Pelodiscus sinensis: one gene and its partners. The protein of the gene in region 4 interacts with the protein of the main gene of each other region in a pairwise test. Links are inferred from orthologs where the notes say so. Each region holds a gene or a part of one and is shown on either strand. Other genes may lie near its edges.

The links.
Region 1: the proteins of APPL2 (region 4) and RAB5C interact in binary tests that used the Homo sapiens proteins (3 or more experiments, as listed by UniProt). The two-hybrid records come from large-scale screens. The link is inferred for Pelodiscus sinensis from reciprocal best matches to the Homo sapiens genes APPL2 and RAB5C.
Region 2: the proteins of APPL2 (region 4) and RAB22A interact in binary tests that used the Homo sapiens proteins (3 or more experiments, as listed by UniProt). The two-hybrid records come from large-scale screens. The link is inferred for Pelodiscus sinensis from reciprocal best matches to the Homo sapiens genes APPL2 and RAB22A.
Region 3: the proteins of APPL2 (region 4) and SUV39H2 interact in binary tests that used the Homo sapiens proteins (3 or more experiments, as listed by UniProt). The link is inferred for Pelodiscus sinensis from reciprocal best matches to the Homo sapiens genes APPL2 and SUV39H2.

Annotation. Positions count from the first base shown.
Region 1 is NC_134739.1:9,305,206-9,312,494, reverse strand, and holds the start of RAB5C (ras-related protein Rab-5C), read right to left. Parts: upstream 3,014-7,289; 5' UTR 2,856-3,013; intron 1-2,855. UniProt on the Homo sapiens protein: The small GTPases Rab are key regulators of intracellular membrane trafficking, from the formation of transport vesicles to their fusion with membranes.
Region 2 is NC_134728.1:13,254,018-13,261,716, forward strand, and holds the start of RAB22A (ras-related protein Rab-22A), read right to left. Parts: upstream 3,015-7,699; 5' UTR 2,912-3,014; coding exon 2,876-2,911; intron 570-2,875; coding exon 490-569; intron 1-489. Other genes in the region: serine/threonine-protein phosphatase 4 regulatory subunit 1, read left to right, coding at 3,354-3,360, 3,554-3,598. UniProt on the Homo sapiens protein: Plays a role in endocytosis and intracellular protein transport. Mediates trafficking of TF from early endosomes to recycling endosomes. Required for NGF-mediated endocytosis of NTRK1, and subsequent neurite outgrowth.
Region 3 is NC_134711.1:15,051,526-15,059,482, reverse strand, and holds the start of SUV39H2 (histone-lysine N-methyltransferase SUV39H2), read right to left. Parts: upstream 3,004-7,957; 5' UTR 2,932-3,003; coding exon 2,790-2,931; intron 2,334-2,789; exon of another isoform or gene 2,250-2,333; coding exon of another isoform or gene 2,210-2,249; intron 1,046-2,209; coding exon 900-1,045; intron 1-899. UniProt on the Homo sapiens protein: Histone methyltransferase that specifically trimethylates 'Lys-9' of histone H3 using monomethylated H3 'Lys-9' as substrate.
Region 4 is NC_134711.1:97,457,368-97,464,299, reverse strand, and holds the start of APPL2 (DCC-interacting protein 13-beta), read right to left. Parts: upstream 3,017-6,932; 5' UTR 2,719-3,016; coding exon 2,665-2,718; intron 1-2,664. UniProt on the Homo sapiens protein: Multifunctional adapter protein that binds to various membrane receptors, nuclear factors and signaling proteins to regulate many processes, such as cell proliferation, immune response, endosomal trafficking and cell metabolism.

The DNA of each region.
Region 1 (7,289 bases), on a different chromosome or scaffold from region 4:
ACCTAATTGTACTCCATTCTAGGCATTCTGAGCTGGTGCGAGCCAAAACAGAGATGGCTGCCTGCCCACCCAGCTCCTAATACACTTTAGATGTAGAACCATGGCAGGGGTAGGTCCTGGACCCATCACAAACCAGGACAGAGACAGGCTGCTGGCCAGTCTTTTTTTTTTTTTTTTTTAAAAGCAAACACTTACTGACAGGCAGGGAAATGCATGTAGTGGACAGCATTAGCCAATAAGCAAAAGCTTACAGGTTAATCAACTATGCTATTACATCCCTACTCCATTCAGCTTTGAATTTGTTACAGTTTAGCATATTTATGAGGTCTACATTTGATCCCACTGTCATGCAATTTAACTGCAGTATTACCTCTAAATGTGTTAAGTCCACCTTCAACTTGATACATATTCAATTTGTAAACACCAGCTCTGACCATTCCCCCCCCCTTTCTGAAATGAGAGACTGAAGTTGGGGTCTTAAGTCCACTAGAAGCTAGATACTTGAAACTCTTAAAATAGACACAAATATTGGATCCCTTTGGCAACTAACTTTGGGCTCCTGTTTCCTAAATCCCTGGGCAGTTTATTTCCACAAGATATTTTCTAAGAAATCCAAGCTCTTAAAAAAAAAAGCAGAAGTGCTCTAACCTTTGCTACAAGTCATAGAAGTTAGGAGAAATCAATTACTTTGTCTATACAAAACAGTACAATGGCACTTAAATAACCAGAACAGTTACAGCTGGCTATTGTGGCAGTCATTCAGAAAGCCTGACACAGCATGGTATTCCCCTACATATAAAGAAACTATTAACTAGTAACTCAGGCAGCCCTTATGAGTCAAACCTGAAGAGCCATATCCCCGTACTCCAACTGGGAAATTAAGTGAGCAGCTTCTAAGTATGCTGCTTTTAAAATCAGGAAGTAAACTAATTATAATAAGTAGTAAATATTATTGCTCTGATGTCCATAAGGATCATACATTTTGGTTGGATAGCACCTGCATTCTGTGCCTCTGAAAAATCTTGTACACTTCCACAGTAAGTGCACTACCATACAGGCCCTATCAAGAAGCGAGTGAGAAGGTTAGTTTTATAGAAGCATGCATATGACCTAAGTGAAATCTCTGTATGGGAAATTTGCACTTTTATTCAAGAGTCTAACCAGAGGAATCTATTTTAAGACACCATCTTTTCTTCAGTTAAACCCTTTATTCCTTGCACTTCCATTGTTTCACATTAGGCAACAAGCCCCCAGTCTTTGGAGCCAAATACCATGCCCATGTCAGAAGATAAGACACCCTCCTCCAAGGCTCACATTACAAGCTTATGTCCAAGTTGGGATTGGAAGTTGAAGTCTCCCCACCTCACACACCAGTGCTCAGCTCAGTCCAGACTAGGTGACTTCTCAAAGACCTAGTTTTGACAATTCTCTGCCTTAAACTTTCTGCTCAATAACACTAACTACCATAAAGCCATAATATTATGGTCAACTTGTACACCTACATTTGACAACAGAAAGCCTAACCCTTGGAAACACTATGCCACAGCCATTAGACCTGTCCAGTGCCCAGAAAGCTAGGGTGATTATGGCAACAAAAGCCACCATTACCCAGTCAACCAATCCAGTTATCCAGATCCTAATTGTGGGCAAGAGAGAGAGGTCTGTTTGCTGGGTCAAAGTGAATCATGAATTGTCATACATTTACCAAGTGACAATACAAGCCAGGGGAAGGGGAAGTTACTAGGAAATTGACTGTTCATAACCAGGGAAGCAATAGAATTAATGACCAGGGGCAGGGGGGGGGGGGGGGGGGGGAAAGATGAGTTTGCTTCTCTTTTCTACTCATGTAATAAGTGAGTTACCAGCAAATGCCATTCTTGGTATGCTTTATGTGCACGCATGGGGGGGGGGGGAAATGTGGGCAAGATTACAGAGTCTCATCCAAGACAGGACAATAGATTAATCCCACTTCTCACCAGCCACCTAAACTGGTCTCAGGTGTTCAGGGAAACAGGGAAGGTTACCCCTGTAAACAGCCCAGGATCTCAGCTGCTTCCAGGCCCATTTACACACACATGCCAAGTAACAAGGAACCCAGCCAAGTTACCAAGGGAATAACTACTCCATACCAACATTCCCTCTAATCCAGTCCATCCAGGTGTAGATTTTTTCCCCAACCACATACAGAATAAGTTTTGCGCACACTGAGATATGTGCAAAGGTGCACTACCAATAGAACACAGACAAAAATACTAGCTGCAGTAGCTCTGCTAGTCAGCTGGCTGGCCAGCACTTGACTCTGAGCAGCTACGCAAGTGCCCAGCATACAGGCAACACTGCCCAGTACTGTGTGGCCAGGGCTGATCTCTGCTGACCCCTGAAGAGTGGCTGGGCAAAGCTCCCTTAAAAAGACCCCCCCCCCCCCCGAACACAACCTTACGTATAGAGCAAAGAATAAAGAGGGGGAGCATGTGAGACAAGGACAGAGTCCCCCCAGCCCAGTGCCTCCTTGCCAGATCACCCCCTGGTCCCAGGAAGCAAGGCACCCCCCACCTCAGGGCCCCCCCCACCCACAAGGCACCCACCACAGGGCCCCCCCACCTCAGGGCCCCCCCCACCCACAAGGCACCCACCACAGGGCCCCCCCACCTCAGGGCCCCCCCCACCCACAAGGCACCCACCTCAGGGCGCCCCCCACCCACAGGGCCTCTCTGCCCCCCGGCTCCAAGGGGCAGGACACCCCCCTGAGCGGCCCCTCCCCGCCCGACTGCGCCCCCGCCCCGGCTCCAGGGAGCAGGACACGCAGCACCGAGCCCCCGCCCCAGGACGCCCCGCTCCGAACCGGCCCCACTCACCGCGCCGGGGTCGCCTCTCTCCCCCGCCCCAGCTGGCTCTCAGGCTGCGGCCTCCACTTCCGCCTTTCAGCTGCTCCGTTTCCGGGTCCGCCCACCCCTTCCGCTCCGGTCGGGCGGGGTCAGAGGCAGCGGCGTCCGCCAATCACCGAAGCCCTGCCCACTCCTCCCTCCCCGCCCCTCCCAGCCCGGCCCTTCTCCGCGCTGCCGGAAGTGGGGCGTAGCGCGGCGGGGCGGTCCACGTGACGCACTCGCGGGGGCCGATGGGAGTTGTAGGCCTCGAGGTGGGAGGGTGCCGCCTGGGGCGGTGGGCGCAGCTTGGTGCGCAGGGAAGAAACAGGGGGAGGAGCCTGGAAGGGGGCGGAGCTTGAAGTGGGTGGGGGAAGCGGAGGGAGAAGCCTGGGCGGTGGTAAGGGGAGGGGGAGGAGCCTGGGGCAGAGGGAGGAGCCTGGAACGGGGATGGGCAGGGGGAGGAGCCTGGGGGCGTGGGTGGAGCCTGGGGCGGGGGCTCGGTGCTCCCTGGAGGAGGAGCCAGGGACAGAGGGAGGAGCCTGTAGTGGGGGGGGCGAGGGGGGATGAGAACGGAGGGGGTGGAGCCTGGGGCAGAGGGAGGAGCCTGGGGCGGGGGAATGAGAACGGAGGGGGTGGAGCCTGGGGCAGAGGGAGGAGCCTGGGGGGGGGGGAATGAGAATGGAGGGGGTGGAGCCTGCGGGTGGGGTTGAGCCTGGGGCAGAGGGAGGAGCCTGGGGCGAGGTGGGGGGAGGGAGGAGGAGCCAGGGACAGAGGGAGGAGCCTGTAGCGGGGGGGGGGGGGCGAGGGGGGGATGAGAACGGAGGGGGTGGAGCCTGGGGCAGAGGGAGGAGCCTGGGGCGAGGTGGGGGGAGGGAGGAGGAGCCAGGGACAGAGGGAGGAGCCTGTAGCGGGGGGGGAGCGAGGGGGGGGATGAGAACGGAGGGGGTGGAGCCTGGGGCAGAGGGAGGAGCCTGGGGCGAGGTGGGGGGAGGGAGAGCAGGAGGAAGACTCTGTTGCCTGGGTGGGGGGCCAGCAGGACTTCCCCCTGGTGGCAGCAGGGAGCTCCCTGGGATAGCTGGGATCATCTGTGCCACCCCAGAGCTGGGTGTGATAGGGAGGGGTGCTGGGCCACCCAAGCCTGCTGGGGGGGGAGGGGGGGGCGCTTGGCCTGGAGGAGACAGAGGTGGAGGCATTGGCCCACGGGTCTGCTTTGGGACGCAGCCTGCCCTGCTGCACACGGTCAGTCCCGTGCCCACGGCTGGAGCTGGCCCTGAGGACAGCTGGACTGGTATAGTGGTTTTAGGCTGTTCTGCTGCCCCCATCCCCTCTTACCCAGGAGGCTGCAAACTGCCCAAGTCCAGCCACCAACATGACTAGTGTTGCCAGGTGTCCGGTATTGTACCGGACAGTCCGGTATTTGCTCGCTCTGTCCGGTAAAACAAATCAGACAATACTGGACACGTGCAATGTCCGGTATTGTCTGATTTTTCCGGCTGCGCACCAGACAGAAGCCTGGCAAGGGCGGGGGGAGCGGCTGGGCGTCCTAGTTGGGAAGCGGGGCCACCATTGCCGCCGAGAGCCCTCCGTTGGTTGAGTGGGGGAAGCCTCCTCCTTGCTCGTGCGTTGCCGGGAGCCTGCGCGGGACAGGCAGCGCCCCAGGATCTGCAAGTGCCCGGGTCAGTCCCGCTCCCGCCGGCCGATTTGCTCACCCCTCCCCTACCCGGCCGGCCGGTCCTCCCCCACTTCCCCTCCTGATCTTCCCCGGCCAGCCCCCCTGCACCGCCCCCCAGCTCTGCTTCCCACTGGCCTGTTCTTCTTCCTGCGCCGCTGCACCCCCGCCCCCGCCAACTCTGCTTCCCTCCCAGCCAGCCCCACGGCTCCCGACCCCTCCCCAGCTGTGCTTCCCACCTCCCTTCCTCCTGCCCCCCCTTCCTCCCGGCCAGCCTCGCAGCTCCCGCCCCCCCCTTCCTCCCGGTCAGTTCCCCTCCCCTGATATTCCGCGGCCAGCTCCGTACCGCCCAACCTCCCCCCCCACGACCAGCCCTGCTTCCCGTTGGCCCCCCCATCTTTCCCCAGCCAGCCCCGTTGCCCCCCCCCCGTTAGCTGTTTCCAGGCCCCCCCACCCTTCCCAGTCAGTACCGCTCCCCGCCTGGCCAGTCCTTCTCCCTCCCCTCCTCCTATGAAGCGTGTCCAGTTTTTTTGTTAATGACTACCTGGTAACCCCTAGCAGTGCCCCATCCCTGTGATCACCACAGAGATTTAAACTGAGAAGCAACTTGCCTCCCTCCTCAAGCCCCCCCTGGCTCCCAACACCCCAGCTCCCTGACCCCAGCCCCAGGTTCTGCAAGGCTGCTGGCACAAAATGGCCTTGGAGTCTTTTTTTTTTTTCTCAACCTCTTTGGCTCCCCCCCCCCTTTTTTTTTCCTTCAACAGAATTTTTTCTCAGTGTTTTTTTTTTTTTTGGCAGGGGGCGGCTTGTTCTGTATTTTTGTTTCAACCATCTGACAACCGTAGACCTGACCCATGCCAGCTACACAATTCAGCCTCGGCGCGCTGACAGGGCCCCTCCACAAACCCAGGCCGTGGCTCAGGGCTTAGGAGAGGGTTCTGCCTCCAACATCCCAGCGGGGCTGTAGCTCCCAGAGGCTGGCACTAGCAGGAGAGGGCTGTGCTGGGCAGCAGAAGATCCTGGGTTCAGGCCTGCCTCTGACACATACGCAACCACCCAGAGCTGGCTGCATTTCAGCGGCGGGTGTGCAGAGCAGCCAATGAGCATTGGAAAGAAAGGGGCTGAAGACGTGAACATCACCGTGGTGCAGTGGAGGGGAATTCCCCCGAGTAGGGGTGTCCTCACGGACAGCAGCCCCTGGCGTTTCTGCAGCAGTGCCTGATGGGCGGGAGAGCAGAGCGTAGTCCTGTGCCATGCCCTGGAGACGAGGGCTCTGGGGTTCAAAGGGCAGAAGTGGCAGCTGTAGCTACCCAGGGCCTGGCAGGTTGCCAGGACAGGGGCCTGGTAAGAGGAAATTTGGCAGGCAGAGCTATGGGCTGGCTCCGCCCTACTTGGCTGTAGGATCTTTACGGGTGTTCAGGCTGGGTCCTAGTCTGTTACATCGGGAGCTGCTGTGACTCAGCCCAATGCCGGCCCTGCTGCAGCTTGGAAAGCACATGGAGCAATGGGGACTGTGGGCTGGGTCGGAGGATGGGATCAGCGACCTGCCCTTGGTGTGGCCCAGCAGCCTGCAGTCACACGGCAGCCCCAGCTTAGGAGAGCAGGTGATGCAACCCACCCCGAGGGCTCGTTAGGGGAGGGAGCCGAGAGGCCGCCCTGTGTTGCCAGCAGCGATGTTTGTTGCTCGCAGAGACCTGGGAGCTCTGGCCCAAGGGAGATTTTTCACGGGCTAGCCTGTGTGGCTGGGGCAGAGCAGGGAGAGAAACCTCCCCCCCTCACAGGGTCCAAGCTGCCAGAGTCAAGGGGCGCAGTCAGTGAGCCGGGCTGGGTAAGCCCCCAGGAGCATGTAGAGAGCTGCAGAGCACAGGGCGGACAAGGCCACAGGAGGCGCTGCCTGTCAGCATAAACCCCACTGCCCCCCATGCCGGGCTGGAGAGCAGGCTGGGCCACTGAGCCAGTGGGGCAGGGGAAACGCACACTCCCCTCTAGGCCAGAAAACTGGGTTGGCCAATCTATCCATGGCTGAGCCCCAGCAGCCTAGGACAGGTGGGGACTGGTGCCCGTGAGTCAGGCTGGCTTGCCAGGAAAAGGCGCCACCAGTTAATTGCCCTGTTCCAGGGAGGGTAGCTGGCTGGCACAGCACCTCTGACAACACGGCTACGTCTAGACTGGCATGATTTTCCGCAAATGCTTTTAGCGGAAAAGTTTTTCCGTTAAAAGCATTTGCGGAAAAGAGCATCTAGATTGGCACGGGTGCTTTTGCGCAAAAGCACTTTAGACGCAGTTTTGTGCAAGAAAGCCCCGATCGCCATTTTCGCCATCGGGGCTTTTATCCGCACAACAATACCGCGTTGTCTACACTGGCCCTCTTGCGCAAAAGCATTTACACACGAGGGCTTTTGCCCGAACGGGAGCAGCGTAGTATTTCCGCACGAACACTGACAATCTTACAGTGTCTTACAGCAAGTGGCTGTGATGGCAAGTGGGTGGGGGAAGGGGCAAGGCCTGAACTGGTCCCCAGGATCCCAGAAAGCAGCAGCAAAGGGATCTGAGCAGATGGAGCCCCAGGTAGGGGGGGGCCTTTCAGCAAGGTGCTTTGGGGTGCCAGGTATTTTGGGAATCAGACTGAGTTGTCCCCCCCCCGTCTCTCCAACCCCTCCTATGCCAGCCATTGACCGTACCACGTACCAAGCAGCAGGGGCACAACATTGCCCCTCCCCAAAAGCAGCAGGAGGCAGTGGCTGTAAAAATAGAGC
Region 2 (7,699 bases), on a different chromosome or scaffold from region 4:
CCACTTTACCCAACTTCTCTTACTCTGTATAAAGTATGTTTACACTCGCGGCTTCTTGCGCGAGTAATATGCAAATGAGGCTAAGCGTGGAATATCGCCAAGCTTCATTTGCATACCTAATGAGCCACTTTTTTTTTCAGAACAGGCTCTTGTGCAAGAAGGAGCGTGTACACTGCCCCTTCTTGCACAAGAAAAATCCTCTTGCGCAATGCCGTTACACCTATTAGTTTTCAGGAAGAACGGCATTGCGCAAGAGGGTTTTCCTTGCACAAGAAGGGGCAGTGTAGATGCTCCTTCTTGAGCAAGAGCCTCTTCTGAAAAAAAATGGTGGCTCATTAGGTATGCAAATGAGGCTCTGCAATATTCCACGCTTAGCCTCATTTGCATATTACTCACCCAAGAAGCCGCGAGTGTAGACATAGCCTTAGAGATTAAAGGATATTGTTCCTCTAGCTTTGTTATAATTCAAATAAATTGTATACGTCTTACCCTATGGTCGGGTTGATGTTAGGGTCAAAGCTGTCTTCTACAAATCGCCACACAATACTTGATTTGCCTACACCAGTGTCCTGGAAAAAAAAAAAAAAAAAAAAAAAAAAAAAGAAAGAAGCGGTTACACCAGAGAGAATTTGGCCACAATAAACACTTGGGCATGTATAGACAGCAATCCTGCAACAAGTTCCTTATGGAAAGAATGAGCCCAGTTCCCTTAAAGAACATCACTAAAGTCAACAGGGGTCCAGATAAGTGGAACTTCTTTTAGGATCAGGGTCTTAATAACAACAAATATTTCAGTGCAGAAAAATTGAAAAATATAAAGGGCCACAAAATAATTATGTTGAAAATAGGAGGTAGCTCTGTAAAAGATACAGTCTTCCAAAACCGATACTTTCATAATTTTGTATAAGATAACAAAAAGTTATAATGTCTGTCTCTTGAAACAGAATTAGGGATGTTTGTCCAGGGGAAAAAGAGCTGCTGCTTCAACTGTTAAAGTGTACATGTGTAGCTGAATAAAGTAATTAATACATACAGGCAGAGCAAGGGTGTCACACTATTGCAAGCATTAGAAATATTTCAGCCTCTGAGTCATTGAGTCTCACCCTATTTAATGAAAGACCTTAAACATCTTCTGTGACATACCTGAAACGAATATATTTTTTATCTCACAGCTGCAGATGGAGCAAAGGAGGAGGAAAACTACTTCAAAAGGTGACAAACCAAGGTTTAAAATAGTTCCAAGCACCCTCAGAAATTGAATACCAGGTTGTGTGTGCATTGAGTAATAACTGGGACAGCTCAAGCTTTAAAGAAACAAAAGGCATGCTTCAAGTTGCATCTTCTTGCAGCACTAAGTTAAGATGTCTGATTGCTCACATGCCTTTTAAACACATTTCAGATGGCAATGTAGTTAACATAGCTGAACTACTTTAAAATCTTCAGCTTACAGAATCAAGTAATGTACACCCCCAAATTTAACCTTTTGAGAAAGATAGATAGTTTACCAAACCTAATGTTGAGAAATGTTTGACTATAACAAACATAGGTTTGATCTGAGGAAGTGGGTCTGGCCCACGAAAGCTCATCATCTAATAAACCATCTTGTTAGTCTTTAAAGTGCTACATCGTCCTGCATTTTGCTTTGACTATAACAAGCTTGCTTTCATTTAAACATTTTTGCAGTGTTTGCAGTCGGGATTACAGTATTAATTAGTACAAAATGTAAAGGTTCAGAAGGGTAGCCGAGTTAGTCTGTAACTGGAAAAACGACAAATAGTCTAGCAGCACCTTAAAGACTAATAAAACATATAGATAAGCTTTCATGGGTACAACCCACTTCTTCAGAAAAAGAGATAAGTTTGTACTGATCCTCTTGAGGGTTCTCTTTTTGGGAGAGGAGAAGGGAATTAAAAAAATACTAAAATATGTGACAAAAATAGTGTATTTAACAGGCAACAATACAAGTTACAAAGAAGAGAAAGGGGGAATGCAAGTAAATAAGTTTCCGAGATGAGGTGTTTAGAAGGGGAAGTGTCTCTTCCTCCTGCTTCTCCCACTCCACAAAGATTTCACAGGTAAAGTTTGATGTAAACAAAGGATAACCTATTTAGTAAGCAATAATGCAAACTACACCCTGACCCCCAATACCAGATATAAAAAGACTATATACACATTTTCCAGGGAGAAGATACATGATTATTTAGAACCAGGAAACACATGGTTTGACCTGTCAAATTCCGTTCAAGTACAGTGAATCCAGGAAAAGCTTCAATTGACTTCAGCTGGATTTGGTTTCTACACAAGCTATAAAGTCAGACCCACGTTTGTTTTTAAGTCTTCATCCATTATCTAGTGTTTGGGGAGCGATTTTGATGCCTGAAAAATGGCACTACGGGTCTGATATCCAGCTACATAAGTGCCAGAGCTAAATATTACCCACATGATCAAAGCCTTAGGCAGCGTAAGAAGTGTATGGGAGCAGAGCAATTTCAACACAGGATCATTTTTAATAGAAGCGCCTTGGAAAAAAAAAAAGGGCTGTGTTTCAGCGTGTCTCAAACACAGACAACGAACATTCTTCCTAGCCAGAAAGGCTTTGCTAGCTGCTCTGGCGTCTCAGGGACAGATGCTACCGAAATCAACACACTGGAAAAGATCAAAAATAACCTCCCTCCACGGGAGAACACCTTTAGAGCCCTCCCCTCGCCTGTAAGGGCTCTCACGACCAAATCCCTCCAGCAGGCAGGCAGGCAGGCAGAGAAATCCCCCCTCCCCGTCCTTGCCTCCTGTTCATCAAGACCACCGGGGGGAGGGAGGACTCTCCAGCAGACACCCCTTCCCTTTCAGCCCAGGTACACCCAGGAAGGTCACTTACCCCCAGCAAGCAAACTTTCAGCTCCCTCAGAGCCATGGCCAGGGAGGCTGTTGCCTTAAAGAGAACCAGAGGCGCAGCTCAGCACCACCATAGCCCCACCCTGAGCACACCCGCCGAGGAGGCCTCCCGGGCAGCGAGCTCTCCAGAGGAGACAAAGACGGCCGGCCAACTCCCCTCCAGGCACAGCTTACAGGTAGCCGCCTCTTCTCAGGCGCCACACACCAGACGCCATCTTGGGCAGCCCATTGGAGTCACCTGACCACCCCCCCTTCCTTCAGGGGCACACTTTTTGCAAGGCTGTAATTTTTCTAGGTCCCCCGAGGGCAGCTGAGCGCCTAGGGGGGCAGCTGTCCCCCCCCCCCCGGGCAGCATTTTGTATTACATTGGGAGTGTGGGGGGTAAGGGTTCAGCCGGGGTCAGGCAGCGCAGACGGCTCCGCCCTCTGCCCCCCTCCCCGGGTTCCCATGTCCATTCCAAGATGGCTGGTAAGCGGCTCTCGCTCCTCTCCGTCCTGCTCCGTGTGGGGGTGTGCGTGTGTGTTGGGGTGCGCGGGGGGCCGAGGCCAAAGCGCCCTGTCCGCTCGTGCGTGGCTCTGTCGTGCTCTGTCTCGCCGCTCTCCAGCGAGCCGTGTGAAACCAACCCCCCGTGTCTCTCTCTCTCTCTTGTTTTTGTTTGTAGGGATCCCTTTGTATTTTGTGGATTTGCAGGATGACTTAGATGATTGTGAGTAACTGTTTTTACTTTTTTGTTTTGACTTGTGCTCCTGTGTGCATTCCCTCCCCCCCCCCCCTCCCGTCTTCCTCCCCACACCTTCTCCCACATGAGGGTCAAAGAAAGAGACCTGTGAGCCTCATTTTATGCTAGGTGAAAGATCAGAGAGGGCTTTGGGTTACCCCCTTCCCCAAATGATGGCTCTGAATTTTCAAAATGCTGCTGGTAGAGTGGAGACTCTAATGGGGTAAATTTGGGGCTTTAAGCTAAATTTTTGGGACCCCCTCATCCTACCCAACAGTTGTGATTTGATTGTTTTTAAAATGACCCAGTAAAACCCTTAATGTAAGAAGGGAAAGAGGTTGGTGGCTCCACATACATGTCTTTATAAAACGATAGGTTGTTTTTATTTTAAATATCTTCCTAAACCATACAGCAGACAGCTGAGGGTATAGAAGGGAGAGAACTAACCCTAAAGGAAGAAGGCCTGTCATAATTGGATTTGCAGGATGGAGACCTGCATAATGAGGAAAAAGGGGACAAGTTGTTTCAGAACTGTCATAAACTATGATACTTTGAGGGATGTTTCCACATTTTAAAATTAATTCTTGCATCTCTAATTGTAATCCCAAATGTCAATCATTCATCATACACGGAAGATACAAGGTATTTCCTGCTTAGCAAAAAGACTAGCACACCACATAGTTGGATGATGCAGAAATAATACTTTTAAAAACTGATGGGTATAATTGGCAGTGGAGGAACCTACAGTCAGGTCTGTGTTTATAAAGTTGAGAAAGTGGGCAATGTAATATTTTTACTGGACCATGTTGGTGTGAGAGAAAAGCTTTTCTTCATGTCAGGTTTATAAAGTTGGTGTTCTGTTGCTTGCGAAGGACATTTCTAGTGGTTGGCCTAAGACAAGGACTTCTTGTTGTGATAATCTGAATGAGTGAGATTTTTAAATGATGAATTGAAACACACACCACAACAGTTTTTTTGAAAAGGTGGTTATTTGTTTTGTGTATCTTTTGCATTGTGGAGTTACAGAGATATGGAATAAGACAACACTTTCTGTGATCTAGCCTCATAGTTTCAAGGGCTTGTGAAGGATTTTAGGGGATTCATCTTCAACCTGTTAAAACTCTTTGCCTGAACCTGTTGTCTACACATTTTCTCAGTCCTACTGAGGTCTGTCTTGTCTAATTGATGTTGAAGATCTCATACATTCTCTCTTTAGCATCTTCCTCCGTGACTTTTTTTAAAAATATGATTGCATGACCTTCCAGAACTGCCACTGATTTGTTTGGATGGAAACTTTAAAGATGGATTAATTTGGAGTCTGCTTTTAAAAACCTTTTCTCTAATAATGGCAAATTTTTATGGAAGGCTTCAATGTGACATTTAAAATCTCCCTCCAAATTGTTTGCAACTCCCCACCCCAGATCCTTGTGCCTATATAAAAGCATTGTTGAAGGATTGGAGTCTCAGGTCCCAATCTAGCAAAGGGATGTGCATATCAGAAACTCCATTGAACTCAATAAAAAAACTCACAGACTTAAAGTTGAGGATATATATGTCTTGAGGACATTTATGTTTAGTGGCTTGAGGGCCACAGAGTCCTAAAATGTGTTTATATTGCAATAAAACACAGTGGTAGGATTGTTAGCTAATTCAGATTTAGGGAAAAGGGTGCTCAGGCAGCAGGGTTATAAAATTGCAGTGTAGATAATATTTGGGTTGGGCTGGAGTCCTGGCTCTAGGGATCCCAGTGAGGTACTAATTGGCATTTTGGATGACAATTTGTGTTTATCATTTGAAAATAATTGTGAATGTTTTTGAAGTTGTTGCTTGTGATGGACCAGTTCTATGTTGCTGCTTTAGACAATCCTGATTTTTTGAGGGAAGAGGAAGAAAGGAAATGGTGGTTCAGAAACTGGAGTATAAAAGTTGAATAAAAAGTAGTTGAAAATTATATGGCATCACCCTTTAAAGTGTTGAAATTTGGGAGGTCTGGTTTTTCAGGCTTATGCTTGCGTTTCCTACTTTAGTTCATACATTTATCTCTGGGATATTGGTTTTAAAGACATTGCTTGCTTAACTCTGTGTCATGACCTCAAACAACACCAAGTACTTTTGTTGAGCAGGGGATTTAAATAGGGAGCAGACTGGCTAATACACTTGTGTATACCCACACTTGATTTGAAAGAAGCTTCAAAGTTCAGTACATCCCACCTTTAAATTCATTAATAACAAGGGGAGCCAAAGCAGCTGGATCTGCAGTATAAACTCATTAGTAGAATTGAAAATCTGTTCTGTTTTGCTTTTCTCTGCCAAATTTTTAAAAAGTAAACCCTTATAATCCAATACGAAAACAGTTTAGTTTGCTTCTTGCCAGCTAATTCTTTCCCTTCTCCCCCCTTCAATTGAAAAAAATGAAAGATGCCACCTGAACTCTTCTATTTTCCGTACAAGCATGTTACAAACAATAGTCCAAATCTCCCACAGTGTCCAGCCAATGTGCCTTGACTGACTTGGAGGGGACCATCTGTAGGGGTGAGACGGCAGTATATTCTCCATGGCCAGTCAGTCCTTGGCTTTTTTGCCAATGCTATCAACAAAAGTGTAATTTGTCCTGGTAACTTGACTAAAATAGATTTATGATTGTAAGCCAGCCTTCTGGCTTTTGGAGGAAGGGGATGAAACCCAAGTTTTTCTGGGGATTTTTTTATCATTTTACAATTTTGAATTTAGAGTAGTGATCTAATAATGGGAAAAAGTGTGCTTTGTATATGTCTGTTTTACATCAATTTGTATGTCTCAATATCAACAGATCTAATGCAGCATGTTGATTTATCGTTACTGTGGCATGGACAGAGAGAGAAAAAAGTCTGACTTGAAGTGTTGTTAATGACACCTGTTTTGTTTTGAACTACTGTACTACATCTTGAACTAAAAATATAGAATATGAACTGTTCCTAGTCACTGTGAAAGAACATCTAGAATTACGATGGAAAATCTGAGAGCTCAGTGTGCATGGTCTTGACAGGTTTTTTTTATTATTATTATTACAAAATGTCCCAGTCTAGATCAGGGCTGTGATTAACCTGAAAGCGTATGTCTACATCACAATTGGGAGCTTTCTTTACACTGCAGGTAGAGGGGACTTTGCTGGAGGTACTGTGCTAAAAATAGCATGGTAGAACAGGTGGAGGCTTGGCCATCTGCTTATGAACCTGCTCAACCCTCTTGGTATGTACTTGTATGGCTAGCCTGAGCTACTGCCTTTGCCCCTATGACCACTGCTATTTTTAGCTCAGTGGTTTGAGCAGAGCTAGCGGGTGTTTATCTGCATTGGAAAACATGCTCTGAGCTGCAGTGTGGACACACACCAAGGAAAAAGATATAGGACATTTTTAAGCAACTCATTGAAGTAAATAACTAAAACTAGATCCAAGATGTCTGAAGGAAAGAAAGCATTAAATAATGGAGATATTCATGTAATATGATACAATTAATTTTATTAAAATAATCAAACAAAAGAGCTAGATGAGATCCTCGGAGTTATGGAAGGGGAAATATATCCTCAACCCAGGGGAGCTGAATGAGAAACTAATTGTGGGTAATGTGATATTGCACTTGAATAAATATTGAGGGTCAAACCAATCTGACTCTTTAATTCTCCACTGCAAAAGCTGTCAAACCTGTATACAGTTCTTTAAGAAGATTAATAAAATAGTAAATAAATCTTATTCTGTGGGGTGTTTTTTTAAAATTCCTTTTGTAAGACTATGGGAAATTATGGTTAAGAAATTATTATTTATGGTGGATTTAAAAACTGAGTAGGTGGATTTAAAAACTGAGTAGTCTCCTACTTTTGGGAGACTAATACCCACAGGGGTAAGTATTGGTGTTAATATATTTATTAGTGATTGGGTGCAGGAAATGGACAAAGAGATGGTGGCATTTGCTGATGTCATTAAATTGTCTGAATATTAATACCTATGTCAGGCTATGAAATTTAAGTACCTTTGGGACTGGGTCATACGATATATTAAATTCAATTTCAATAGTGCACCTTTGGCTACACTAGTTAAATTTCTTATACACCGA
Region 3 (7,957 bases), about 82 Mb from region 4:
TTATCACCCTCTTTATGATGGAGAAATAAAACCACATATGACCATGCAGCTGTGAATTTAGCTAACAATAGAGAATCAAGCCTTTCAAATGCAACGTATGTACTTTGTGCACCATTTGTAAGGACATGGATAACTATAGGCTGTATAATGACTCAGAACACGTAAATAATATTAGCATGGATCAGTTTGTTAGCATTGCCACTGATGGAAACAGTATAAAATAACACCCTACACAGAACAAAAAGAAAATCTAAAGTTTGACCAAAAAACCTCTAATAGTATTATTTGTAATCGTTATTTGAGTCAGCCTAGAGGAATAATACAATCAAAAACACTTCTTAATGCTATATTTACTACAAAGACTATGTATTGTAAAATGTAATTATTTTGAAAGGAGGGGTTTTTTTTCCCCAAGGGAATTGAGCAATAAGGACAAATCTTTAAACCAGGCACACACACTGATCAGCTTCTGCATACACATGGCACCTAATGGGGATCTGGTCATGGATCCAATTGCAACATGTGGCCGTAGCTATTCAACGAACAGACTGCAGTACTATAGAGGAAGAAGTGTCCTTTTAACCGCAAACAAGGGGAAGAGAAGCATCAATGCACACCGAGCTATTATTTAAGCACAGTAAACTTTGCTTTGGCACTGGGGTCAGACATTTTGTGCTTTACTATACGCAGAACCTTCCCTTTCTTACAGTCAGAGCCAAAGAATACTTTATTTAGGCTTCAACATTCCAAAGTATTTTATTCAATGTCAGCAGTAACTTAACAAAAGCCCTATGCTAGCCTAGCACTTTAGACTTTGAGGAAAACTACCACCTCTTACTTCCAAATTTCCAACTGAAATACTGATCAAATTGTTCTGTAAAACTAGACATTTATCTTACCTCGTCTACCTTGTAGTCACATAAATATTCCACCTCATAACTCTTTAGATTCCTGTTGGTGATTCCAAGGGATTTACATGTGAGATTTTCCTTCCTACATAATTCCTGGATGGTCTCAAGTGAAGCTAGACAAGGCACATACCACACTACAATAAGAAAATAGGATTCTTTACTAATTTAATGTTTCAGCTGAGTTGAAAAAAAATTAAATACTTGATTTTTAGTCTGTTTCCGAGCCCCCCAATTGTAATGTGTAAGAATTGTCCACAATATATTTGTAAAATTACTAGCGTAGCAGTCGCAGATAGAATCAATGATACTCCGTTTTAATATAGAATGAAGTCTATAACAGTTCTCTGCCTGAACTTGAGCTCTGCATATACTATGTACACTCATATAATAAAAAAATCTACCTACAACCTACTAATTATTCATACAAAAAGAATCTCAGTAAACAAAACAGAAATAATTTTCCTGACCTTAAGGCACCCTAGCAAAAGTTCATGCTTCTGACTGCAATTATGTAGAAGCCCTTCACTCTTTTACATGGGAGCCAACTAGCTGCAGTTAGTCAAGTGGAATCAACACTCTTGTACTTGCTATGCAACCATGGTGACTGGGATGAGACACGAGGCAAATCCCTCTTCCAGAAAGATCTCTGCTTTCTTGTCAACTGGGCCAAATTTAGGAAGGTTACAATCGACAATGTAACTGTTCTAAAGAGGAAAGGATGCCAACTACGGAACAATGATTACAACAGTTCAGAACTCTGTTAGGAGCGACCGTCCAAAGTTAATAGCAAGTCAAAAGTCTGGAGCCCAAAACAACAGGGTTATATTTTTTTTTTCCTGCTTTAGTAAGAGTCAGGGTGTATTTGACAGTAGCTGAATTTCTTCCTCTGCGTTAGTAGCGGATTGGTCACTTGTGTCCCAACCAAAGCTGCAATGAGCCCATCGCCACTGAAAAGGAAAGGGGGAGGAGAGGCATTGGAGGCTTCCCAGGCTGGGGGACTCTTTCTTAAATTCCAGACTCGCCTAGCAACCTCTCCCGCCAAAAGCCTCCCGCAGGCATGGGACAGTGCCCCCCCCCCCTCCAGGCACGGCACATTGTCCCTCTCCCCCTCCCCCACACTGCACGCCGCCTCCCCCCCCCCCATGCTGGACCCGGCACCGCAGAGCCCCCTTCTCCCCGCAGACCCCGGGGCCCTGCCGTGGACGGGCACCGCACAGCCCCTGTCCCTGAGGCGCCCGAGGGGGGGAGCGGCCCCCCGCCCGCCTCGGTCCCGTGAGGGAGCATCCCCGACCCCTCACCTCCTCGCCAGCCCGCCATCTTGCAGGGGGCCGAGCGCATTCCAAGCCTGTGGCACCCGGGCCGCCGGCTGCAGGCCCCGCCCACGCCGGGCAGGCCCCGCCCCTTTCCCGGGTAAGCACACTGCCCCCGAGGCTACCCCCTTTCCCCGCCCGCGGCCTGGGCTGGGGGCCCTGTCACGTGGGCAGGGAGCCCCTCCTCCCCCAGCTCGCGCCCCTCCTACCCACAGAGCAGCCGCGCGGCTCCCACGCGCACCCACCCTTCGGCGCGAGCCCCCCTCAGCATCCTACGCGCCGGGGGGGGGGGGTGCTTGTCCCGCGCGAGGCGCTACGCTGCGGTGAGAGCAAACTCAACAGCCCCCAGCAGCGAGCGGCCGGTGCGGGCACCCCGCGCTCCCCCTTTCTCTCGGGGGCGCCCCGGGCGGAGCGTGCCCGTCTCCCCACCCCGCTGAATCTGCAGGCAGCCGGTCCGCTGGGAGGCCGCGGAAGAGTCGCCCCCCGCTGTGCCCGCGCCAGCATTTTCCCTTGCGAGGTGGGGGACCCCCCCCCCGCCTCCTTGCAGGGACCCCACCGGCAGCCTTACCTGCAGCTGGTAGGGCCGCGTCTTTCCGGGCGGGCTGGCGCTGCGCTCCGGATCCGCGCTCAGCCGGCTTGGGGAGAAAGGGATCCTGGCTGCTTCCCTTCTGGATCGGCCCACCGGAGCCCCAGCACCTGCCTCCCCCCATGGCAAACCACCCCCTCGAGCAGCCTGGGCCTGCCCGCGGCCCAGAGGAAGTGCTGGACTTGTTGAACTCAAAACGCTGCGTTTTCTTCCCCTTGCAGCCAGGTGACAGCGCGTGCCTGGGGCTACTCGCTCTGTGCTCCTCCCTCTGGCAAGGTGGAGGACCAGCAGCTAGCTACCCGAGAGAGGGAATGATCGTAAGATTGATGGGAAAAACTTAAAAAACAACCCATAGATTAGTAGCATCTTAAAGACTAACAAAACAGGTAGATGGGATCATGTGCTTTCGTGGGTGTAACCCACTTAATACTCCGGTCATCTGAAGAAGTGGGTTGTGCCCATGAAAGCTCATGATGATATCTACATTTTGTTAGTTTTTAAGGTGCTACTAGTCCAGTGGTCTCCAACCTTTTTACACCAAAGATCACTTTTTAAATGACAGACCAAGCCAAGATCTACCGCCCCGCCCTTTCCTTGAAGCCCCACCCTCTCTATTCTCCTCCTCTCCATCACTTGCTATCCCCAATCCTTATACTGCTGCTTATTTATTTATTTATTTATTATTCTGTAGGAAGAGATTTTTCCAACATTTGGCCTGTCTACACTGGACCAAATGTCAGAAAAAAAACCCTTCTTTTGGAAGCCACCTTATTCCTTGTGGAAAGAGGAAAATAGGGGTGACCAAAAGAGCCTGTTTGCTCTTCCATTAAAAAAGCGGAAGAACAAACACAGCCCTGGATGCAGAAGAGTTTTTCCGGGATATCTCCAGAATCCGGAAAAACTCCTGCAGTCTAGCTGGATCCTTGCTGTGTTGAGACAGGATGTGTAGTCTCTAGGATGGGAATGAGGGATTTGGGTGTGGGAAGGGGTGAGAGGTGCAAACTCTGGGAGGAAATATGGATGCAGGAGGTGGCGGAGAAGGGGACACTGGCTCGGGGAGGGGGCTCCAGGCTGGGCAGTGTTGGGATACTAAGCAAGCCACAGGCTTGCGGATGTGAGGATGCAGGAATTTGGGTTGGGGTATGTGAGGGGCTGAGGGCATGAGGTTCCAGTGTTTGATAGGCTCAGATCTAGGGTCTGGGGAAAGGGGAGTGCAGGAGTGGTTGTGGCCAGATGGGGGCTTGGCCCCAATTGGGGGTTTGTTGGCCAGATTTCATTTTTAAATAAAATACTATGTTAAACACAAAAAGTTTCTGCATTGTCTTTATTTATGAGAATGGCAGGGAACCTGCCTTGAGTCAGGGGTCACTGACCCATAGAAAAGTCATTTGGGAGCAGGGGACACAGTACTGGGGAGAGGTGCTAGTGGGTTCTGCAGCAGGGGACAGGGTGCCAGAAGGAACTGGTTTCTGCAGGGGGGGGCAGGGTGCCGGGGGACAAGTTTCTGCAGGGGGGGCAGGTTTCTGCAGCAGGGTCAGGGGGATAAGGGAGAGGGAACAGGGGGCCAGGAGGGCGGGGGACAAGTTTGGGGCAGAGGAGAGAGAACAAGGTTGGGGGCAAGGAGTTCCTTACACCAGCCACGGAGGGAAGCCTCTGACCCACGCTCTCTCCGGACTGACCGCAGGGCAGCCAGACTGGAGTAAAGAAAAGCGGCTGCCCGGCCAGCTGGCCATGGTGCTCAGCCAGGGTGCCACCAAGCTCCACGTGGGCAGGCACAGAGGGGAAGCCGCCCAATCAGCTGGAGCACGGTTCAGCCTCCTCTGGGCTGAACGCCACAGCCAGCAAGCCAGGCAGCTTCTCCTCTGCGCCAGCCCACGTGGAGCGTGGTGCACCCTGGCTGAGCGCCATGGCCAGCTGGCCGGGCAGCTGCTTCTCTTCCCTCCAGCCCGGCTGCCCTGAGCTCAGCCCAGGGAGGCTGCGCCTAGCTCCAGCTGTGAAAGCCACAGTCAGCTGGCTGGTGTGTTTCAGCCCTCCTGACCTCCCAGCTCCCACCATTCCTCGCAGCTACTCACCTGTGTTGTTGCTCAGTGAGTAGCTGCTCCTCAAATGAGGAAATCTAATGTAAATGTACTGTGCAGGCGCACAGTTCAGAGAGGGCTCAAGAGCTACTCTTAGAGCCCCTGAGATCTACCGGTAGCTCACAATCTACTGGTTGGTGACCACGGTACTAGTCTGTTTTTTTTTTTTAAGCTTTTCCTGATTCAGACTAACTCACCTACCCCTCTGAAGCTTTTGAACATAAGACTGATTTCACTCTTTTGAATGATTGACTGGTGGCTTGGCTGTTTCAGAAAATAAAAATAGTCACAGGTTCCCTCATTTCTAGAGTCTGCAACATGCTTTATTTTCTTGTTGAAGCTGTAAGCTTTGGACCAGGTTTTTAAAGGTATGTATGCATCTAAAGATACAGACAGGAACCTAAATAGCTTCAAAATCTAGCTCCTTCCCTTGTCCCCAGAAATGAAAGATTAATCTTTAATTAAAGATGGTCATATTATGAAATCTCCAGCAATATATCCCTACAAAATTAGCAAGCCTATAAAAGATACATTTGCTTCAAAGCTCCTGTTACTTGTTTGCACCAATGCTTATGCCCAGTCACCAAGATTGGTAGATGGTCAAAATAAGAAGATAAGGATCAGTGTCTTCTGGATTTGTCACAGGATCATTTAACTGCCTGATAAGTAGAGCCCTGCATCCACCTCTGTATCCACAAAAATGAGTCGCAGATATCCACATCTACAGAAGTGGATGTGGATTCCAGTGGATATAAAGCAGATAGTCTCAAATTTGCAGGACTCCAGATACAAAATTTGCATCTGCAGGCTGCATCCACATCCACAGATGCAGATACCTGCAGACCTAAAGCAGTATTAGTAAAACAGATCCTAAAATATCCTCTTTTTCTTTACTATTTTTTATGCTAGAACAAGTCTTCCCTGACTTCAGATAAGCGTTTCCTATTTAAAACAAAAGTTTCGATGGAAAGAATGAGGGTTGTAATATACAAATGTACCTATTGAATTGTGCAGTACTGTAGAAAGCAAACTTCTCAGTCATCAATTCTTGCTGAAGTATGTGTATGTGGAGTGCAGATAAATAACAGAGCCTTTTCTCGAAAAATGGTAACCACTGGGATAGTCTCATGGGCCATGTATCTAATTCCTGAGACTGATGTTATAGAACTCCCAGCTCTTGCTATTTTGAATTAATCTGAAAGCTGGTTAAAAAAACAAGGAAGGCTACTGTAATGCATGTCACAATAAGATATTTAAATTGTCACTCAGAACTGACTGAAATCTCACTCTTCTTAGAACCAATTAAACCAGAGAGTCCTTATCCATAGAGCCCTGCAAATCTGCGGCCATCTACTTTATGTCTGTGGGTAGCCACATCCGTAGATGTGTTTGTGATCTGTGGCTCTAAGGGAAGTGGTAGAAGCCTCAACACTTGGAACATGTATACTAGCTGAATGTATTATCAAATTTACATTAAAAAACAAACTTGTATTGGCAGCAGGATGGACTAGGTCTAACAGCTAACGGTCAAATTAACCATTAGGCTAATAAGGCTATTGCCTTATGCCCTTCTATTGTTTAGACCCTCCTGGTCAGCAGGGCCTGGGCCAGGTGAAGAAGGGAGGAGCGACAGAGTTCCAGGAGGCAGAAGCAGGGACGGAGCAACTTAGGGGAGAGAGGCAGGGCACCTGCCATCTTTGCTCAGCTCTCCTATGCAATAGGGGGCTCCCTGGGGTTTCTCCCTCCCCCTGCCGATACCAATTTTTTTATCAGCTCTATTATCTCTTATCTCAATCTTATGAATTTTTAGCATATCCTTATAGGACAAGGTTGCTGCTTGGGACAAGGGGGCAATATCAGCATCCAGGCAGGCCCCATGAAGGGCTTAGCTCTTCTGAGATAATTTACTGTATGGAAAAGACACTAGACATTTCATATTAATATTATTTGCAATTATTAGTTTAAGGAAGGTACTCTTCTGCACACCTGTTTGTTTCCTCCTCCTTCCATATTCTCCAGTCACCACAGATTTGTTTTCTGTCCAGTTATTTTTTCTTCTATCCCTCCTTGTTTTGTCCCCTTCCTGGGTTCTTCTACTTCTTCCTGACTCTGTCTTCCTACACTTTGGTTGCCACTGAGCTCTCTTTCAACACCCCAAAAATATTTTTGTCCTAGTATACAACCATAGGCCCATGGGCAGTCCAGATTGTTTACCAGGGGAAAAAAAATAAAAGGGGGCTTCCAATCCTTGATCTGGCCAGCAGGAATAGTGCTGCCAAGTCCTGGGGTCATTCTGGAGAACTCAGGTTAACTTCAGAATATTGATTCTAGCAACAGCACTGATCTCCAGCTTGCTTGTTCATTTTTGTGAGGAATGAACAGATGACATGGAACTAAACCAGGGCAGCATGTTCTGTACTCTCTTCTACACATCTATAAGATCTGTTGCTGAATTTCCCCAAGGGGACTTAGTAGTTGCCAGACTAAACCAATAACAATTCAATTGTTTACTGACAAACAACAAGAGCATATTAACCATTGCGTGCCTATAATCCAGTCAATCTTATTGCTATTAGAAATCTTTGCTTTGTCTGTTAGAAAAATAAATACACTCCAGAATCAGAATCATATCTAGAGGGGGAGGATAGCAGCTAAGTGCACATTCAGCACACAACAGTCATTCCTTACATTACTTGGGATCTCATGGGTATGAGAGCTAGCAGGACCTTAGTTTTTAAGGTCTCTCTCATATTAACATTTTGTATGTCACAAACAGGACCAAGACAATCTTGCCAGGATTTCACCTTCAGTCGTCTGAGTCTAAGGATTTCAAACTCACTTAGATTGCCTAACCATTATAGTCTGTGTGTATGGTTAGGAAGGTAAGAAGAATCATAGGGAATACTGATCAAATGCATTTATTTTGCCACCAAATAAAAGTTTTAGATTGTACTGAGTACCTCACAATCTTTATTGATTTTGTCTTCATAATACCCTTATGAGAGTATTATTTGTCCCAGATTCACAGGATTGGTACTATTCCACCAGCATTTTAACAGGCTCTCAGAGGAA
Region 4 (6,932 bases):
TCTGTTTGTTCAACACCTCCTAAACAGTAAAAATTTGGTATGCAACTTCCTCTTATCATAACTTAAAGCCAGGATTTGGTTGTGCCAGGACAATGGGCGTGTGTGGAATGTGATCGTTTCCCATCAAATGGAAAGAGATTGGCTGCTACCTCGCTCAAGGCTAACCCTGGGGAGAGGCCACTGTCCAGGTTGTGCTCCCACCCCCCCGTCCCGGGCTGACCTGGAGAGAAGCCACCAGATACTCTGGGTTGGCCCCCCTCTTGCCACCCCAGGGAGAAGCCAGTGGCCGCCCCTGCCCTGAGACCCCCTTGTACTCTCCCATACCTCCTAAGCCTCTTTCCTGACTCCTGCATCCCTACTGCCTCCATGAGCCTCCACACACTCCCTGTTCTGAGCCCCTCCTTATCCCCAACTCTGAGTGCTGTACCCCCCAGACCTCTGCCCCAAGCCCCTCCTCACATCCTGACTCCTGCACCTCCACATGCACACCCAGCCTTCTGCCCTGAGCCCCCCACATCTCCAAGCCCCTGCCGTCACTCCTGCACCTCCCACATCTCCAAACCTCTGCCATGAGTCCATCCATAAGGACTCGAGCAATGCCAGGTCACTTTGTTAGTTAAGTAATAAATCTTCAGTAAACGCGAAAAATTTATACAAATTGAAAATAAATCTAGTGTAGTTCAGTAAATTGTAGGGTGCCCCTGGATGAAAAGGAAGGAGAGTGTGATTCCTCCCAGGACTGATTTCCTTCCTCCTGCTGGTTCAGAACCAGTCAATTTAGAGGTGGCAGAATGGCATTGCAGAGTTTCAGTAGGTTCACCCTCCCAAGACTACTGCTTCTCCTTGCTATGGATCTAGGATTTGACTTCTCCTAATTCTGGCTCACCCCTGTTCTTCTTTCTTCCCTCCCTCAGTGTCACTCTCTTTCTTCATCTTGCCTCCACACATGTACATCCTCTTCCTACAAATGCCCCTCTTCCCATCCCTTGGCAAAGCCCCTCTCTGACTGCTGTTTCCCAGACCTTTCCCTTTTTTCCCCTGTGCCTGTAGCATCTCCGTTTTCCCCAATGTTCTGCTTCCCACTCTTTTTGCCTGCTTTGTTCCTCCCCATACAACTCTCAGGGCCCCTTCCTTCATGTCCATCTCTCCCCCTGACCATAAATACAGGTCATCTGCCAGCCTCTCCTCTGTGTGGAGCATTCCCCGGGTCCATGGTTCACTTTTCCAATAGAGATACAGCACTGACTGCCCCAGCATAGTTTGGTCTAGGGCATTGTAGACAGAAAGGGCTCTCATCTAATACAAGGAAATTCTTGGAGATGGAAGTGGAAGAGGGCACTAACAGTCTGGATTTAGTGATATGAATCCATTCGCAAATTTGTCCCTAAAACCGAGGAACATCCCTGATTTCAGGGATTGCCCTGGTGTCCTTCTCAGTTGTATAAAGTTCAGTATTTTGTCCCAGTATTATCGCAGTCTCTCACAAGTCTAGTCAGTAGAGCTAGGGCAATGGTTCTTGTCCAGGGGTAGGTGTACTTCTGCGGATACACAGAAGTCTTTCACAGGTACATCAACAAATCTAGGTATTCACCTAATTTTACAACAGGCTAAATAAAAAATTCTAGCAAAGTCAGTACAACCTAAAATTTCATACAATGACTTGTTTATACTGCTCTAAGTACTATACACTGAAATGTGAGTACAATATTTATATTCCAATTAATTTAGGTTATAATTATATGGTAACGCGAAAGTGAGCAATTTTTTGTGCTAGCCTTCTGCGACACTTTTGAATGTTTATGTCTTATTTTGTAAGCAAGTAGTTTTAAATGAGGTGAAAGTTGTAAGACAAATCCAACTCCTGAAAGGAGCACAGCAGTCTGGAAAGGTTGAGAATCACTGAGCTAGGGAATGTGACAGCAGGCTGGCAAACTGCACATACACCTCGAGCACCTGCACAGGTAAGACACATCAAAGGCTGACGCTTTGCCCTCCCCACATGGAATGCGAAAGGGAGTGGACAGTTTGACAGACAAGAGAGGGCACCCTTGTCTCAATCCTCCTTGGTGCCAACCTCTCCCAGACTGTCTATGAAACTCTCCCCTTCTCTCCTGCCCCACTGTGACAAGTGACCTATTTTCTCCACTTTGAGACTCTGCTCTGCCTATTCCTGGGGCGGCTACTTCCCCAGCCCACAGCAAAAGGATACTCTTCACCTAAGCCAATGAAAACCACTTAACTCATCCCTACCGTGCCTCAGTTTCCCAAAGTGTAAAACGGTGGCATACTCGCCCACCTCTCTCATGCGCCCTGATGGGCAGATGAAACCCGCTGCAGAAGCTCAAGGTACCACCGCACTAACCTACGTGTTACTGGGCAGTGACGAGAAGCTGAGCAAGGGTATCACCAGCTTGGATTGTGCCCCTGGGGAGGCTGGAGGTTTAACCCTTCCCACCCCTCTTGTGTCGCGGAGCCCTGCTAAATCCCGCGTTGCCTCCCCTCAGCTGGAAATGCAGGTGCGTCACGGGGATGAGCCCTGCGAAGCACGAGGGGGGCTGCTAGGGTATCCCCGCGGCGCGAGTGAAAACCTTGCTGGGCACGGGCCCGGGAACCGGGGCGCAGCACCGGGGACTCCCCGGAGCCGCCGGAAGCCGGGCACGGTACCTGCGGGCTGTCTTGCAAAGCCTCTTCCAGCAGGAGCTTGTCCACAGCGGGCATGTTGGAAAACCCCCGCCCCGCCGCCGCTGCTGCTGCAGGACGGCCTGGCCCGTGCGGCTGGGCTGCTGCGGAGCGCTGGGGCTTGTGCGCCCTCGCCGCGCGCGGAGGAGGCAGGGAGGGAGGCTGCCGTGCGCTGGAGCCAGGTAAACACCGCAGCAGCGCCGCCCAGTTCCTCGGGCCGAAAGGAAGCGAGTCACGAGGAAGAGCGACAGCCGGGCAGAGCCCCTCGCAGGAAGTGTGGCTGCTGCTGGTTTCCTGCCCGCCTGCCTTAACTCTTTGCAGAGCGGCGCGGCGCTTGCGAAACTCTCTCCCAGCCTCCCCAAGCCCGGCGGGAGGGAGACTCGAGCGAGTGGCCAAGAGGAGGGACCCCACCCGGGGCAATGATTCACAGGACGCTTAAAAAGCTGGGGTGTGTCTTACATGACGTTGCTTCTTTCGTCTGCCCTCTCCGCCTCCGGCGGGAAGCATTTGCGACAAGAAACGTGAGGGGATGCAAAGCGGAGCGAAATGCGGGCACATGCTGAGTTCTTCATCCCAGACAAACCAGAACACATTTTTGAACCTGGAGTATTTGAAAATGTACGTGGGTTGTCTACATTCCACATTTGAACGTTCCATAAACCGTGGAGGTGGACAAGGCTAAAGGTGCTGAACAGTTGTATTTCTCATTGGGCCAAGCTGTTTCCAGATCAGTAACTGAGGCATTCAGAATCAGCAGCCTCTTTAAAAAGGCCTCTTCGTCACTACATGCATCTGACGAAGTGGGTCTTTGCCCACGAAAGCTTATGCTCCTACACTGCAGTTAGTCTATAAGGTGCCACAGGACTCCTCGCCGCTTTCTGTAAAAAGAATGGCCTTAGAGTTAGAGTCTAGGGGAACTATATACATTGATCAAACAGAAAACATCAAGGAAGGTAAAAATTGCATCTAAAATGATATGGCTCTATCCCCACAGAGAAGTTTCCACCCTCTTCATGTAGTTATGGTGTAACTCACTTTTTTAAAGTACATCCAGGGTGGAAATTTCAAAACTGCTTAGATTTGGCCTAACTTTACTCATGTCAATCTTAATGTCCACTTGTTGCATCTAAATCCCTTTTAATTTTTCTGCTTTGTTTTTTCTTAAAACATTGTAGGCACCTTAAAATGCAAACAAGATAACTGCTAAAATATAAGCAGGTGCCATATGGAAAATTTTGTAAATCGGCTGAAAAATGGTTAACGTTAACCGAGTTTGACAGAGAGTCATCAGGAACAGTACTTCTGGCTGAGTTATATCCCCTTGGAATTTATGTTGATCTGATGTTAAATGGTATTGCTTCTGAAGCTTGTGATATGGTTCTTTAAACCAGTGTTTCTGAAAGTGTACCATGACCACGGAGCCTTGCGGCTCCCATTGGCTCCGTTTCGTCCTTTGCAGCCAACGGGAGCCGCGGGAAGTGGTGTAGGCTGGGCCACCACTTCCCGCGGCTCCTCTTGGGTGCAAAGAATGAAACAGCCAATGAGACCTGCACGACTCCATGGCCATGGCGTCAGTTCATAAACAAACCGGGGCAGCCAGTTAAAGTGTTTCTGAAAATGTTTCTGCGGTACACTTTCAGAAACATTGCTTTAAACCAATGTGCCAAATCTGCCTTGGCATGCCTTTGTTCTGCCAGCACTGAAGTTGGACTCTCTGTTCCAGTTCTTTAATTAAAATCAACAAACTGGATTGTCTTGTTGGCTTCACTTTGCCTGCCTCAGGAAAGAGTCCTGCACAGCAAAGATAGTCAACTAGTCTTTCACAAATATCGAGTATAAGAGGCTGAGTCAACACATTCCCATCAGGAGAAAGCAAAAAGAACAGGGGTTTAAATATTAATTGTGTTACAGAGATCATACAGATGGTGTAGTAACTTGTGAACAAAACTTCTTTGCAGAAGACAGAAATATTAAATAAGGTGTTAATTGGATATTAAGCTTAGGAATCCATGAGCACTTCTGAATCTGTCATGCTATCCTGTGATAGAGTCTGTCTCCATTTATCTTGGAGTCTTGGCTTTTTTTCTTTTTCTTACAACCTTTTTAAAAGGTCATTTGAAACCCAAACTCCATGGTATGACAGAGGAGCCAGACCTCTTAAATTAGGTTCAGGATATTTGTGGATGATTTCTTAACTGTGTCTTGCAGGCCACTTTCTTCCTCCAGTAATTGCCCACTTCTTTTTCCTCATGATTTTGCATATGGTGGAGTGATTAAACAACAAAGTATTCTGAAATACTTTCCACAGCAAACTAACACCTGTGGTTTTGCATCCCATCTGCTATGCAATCAAGAGCACAACCTTTGAGGGCTCACCTGTTTTTCTTGGTGGCTTTGTTTAGTTAATGATTCAAGTTTGGAAACCTATAATCATATTTTCAGCACGGCACCACACCTGGTTGGTCTGACTGGTTTTGCTAGTTCTATGCAAAGAGGACCCAAAGTATTTAGGATGTGCATAACTGTGGGTAGCAAAGTTCATCCAACTTAATGAATGGAGTAGCTTCACCTTAAGCTGTAGTAAAGGTTAAAGTAAATATTTTCACGTAAAAAATAAAAACTGCAAAATAATAGCAAAAGTAGAACCTTTTTCGTCAGAAAGACCTAAATTGTTGAGACTAGTGATTTTGGTGTCTTAATATTTGCGTGCTCAACTCAAGTCACTTTAAAGTCTTCTGTCTTTCTGAGGATGCTCAGTGCTTTTGAAAATCAAAACCCCTCAATATTTAAGCTGCAGAGCTCTGACCGTGGTTGACATAAACTTAAAAGCACCATAAAGGAAAGTTACACAATCATTCAAAGCTGCTGTAGCAGTCGCAAACTCGCTGTGAATTATATTTAAGTGTCTCAAGTTGAGCCCCCAAAATTGAGACATCCAAATTCACCTGTCTGCCCCAAAGAGCTTAAATTGGCCTATTGGATCACACCAGTGGTTCATCTATTCCAATATCCTGTTTCTGAAGAGGCCACTACCAAATATTTCAGAGGAGAATGTAAGTGTCTAAATAATAACAAGTTAGGAGGGAATGGTGTATGCACAGAGGAATTTAGACAGTTAGCTTAGTCCCTAAAGCATGAGAGTTTGTCACTCTTAATATTTTCTTTTATGAAATGGGTGGAGTTTCTTTTGCCCACATAAACGTCTAATGCTTTTTTAAATTCTGTTAAACACTTTCAATCAATGGCATACTGTTGCGATGAGTTCCATAGTTAACAATGTTTAAAACATAGAATTCCTTGTATTATTTTTTATTTTGCTTCCTTTCAATTTAATTGAATGTTATCTTGTTTTTATATAATGAGACGGGGTAAGCGGAGTGCTTATTAACCTTCTCATTGTTTTGTGTACTTCTTACATGCAAGAACAACAAGAAGTCCTGTGGCACGTTATAGACTAACAGATTTATTGGAGCATAAGCTTTCATAGGTAAAGACCCACTTCATCAGATGCATGTAGTGGAAATTCCAGAGGCAGATATAAATATACAGGCATAAGAAAAGAGTTCCAATCAAGAGTAAGGTTAGAGATAACGAGGTCAATTCAGTCAGGGAGGATGAGGCCCACTTCTAGCAGCTGATGTGGAGATGTGAATACCAAGAGAGGAGAAACTGCTTTTGTAGTTGGCTAGTTGGCTAGCCATTCATAGTCTTTGTTGAATCCTAAATTGATAGTATCAAATTTGCAGATGAATTGTAGCTTTGCAGTTTCTCTTTGAAGTCTGTTTTAAAAAATTTTTGTTGCAGGATGGCTACTTTTAAATCTGCTACTGTGTGTCCAGGGAGATTGAAGTGTTCTCCTACAGGTTTTTGTGTATTGCTGTTCCTGATATCTGACTTGTGTCCGTTTATTCTTTTATGTAGGGACTGTCCAGCCACACCATCACAGGACCTAACCACATCAGCCACACCATTACAGACTCATTCACCTGCACATCTACCAATGTAATATATGCAATCATGTGCCAGCAATGCCCCTTTGCCATATACACTGGCCAAACTGGACAGTCCCTACGTAAAACTATAAAACTCATAAATTGAAGTTGAAGGGTTTTTTCTCGAAATGACCCCACGGGGACCATGTTTGTTTTCTCGAAAGACGCTATTTCAGAAAAGCGGCGGTCTGCGATTATGCAAATGAAGCACGGGAAATTCAAATCCGTGCTTCATTTGCAATTTCACTCAGCTGCATTTGC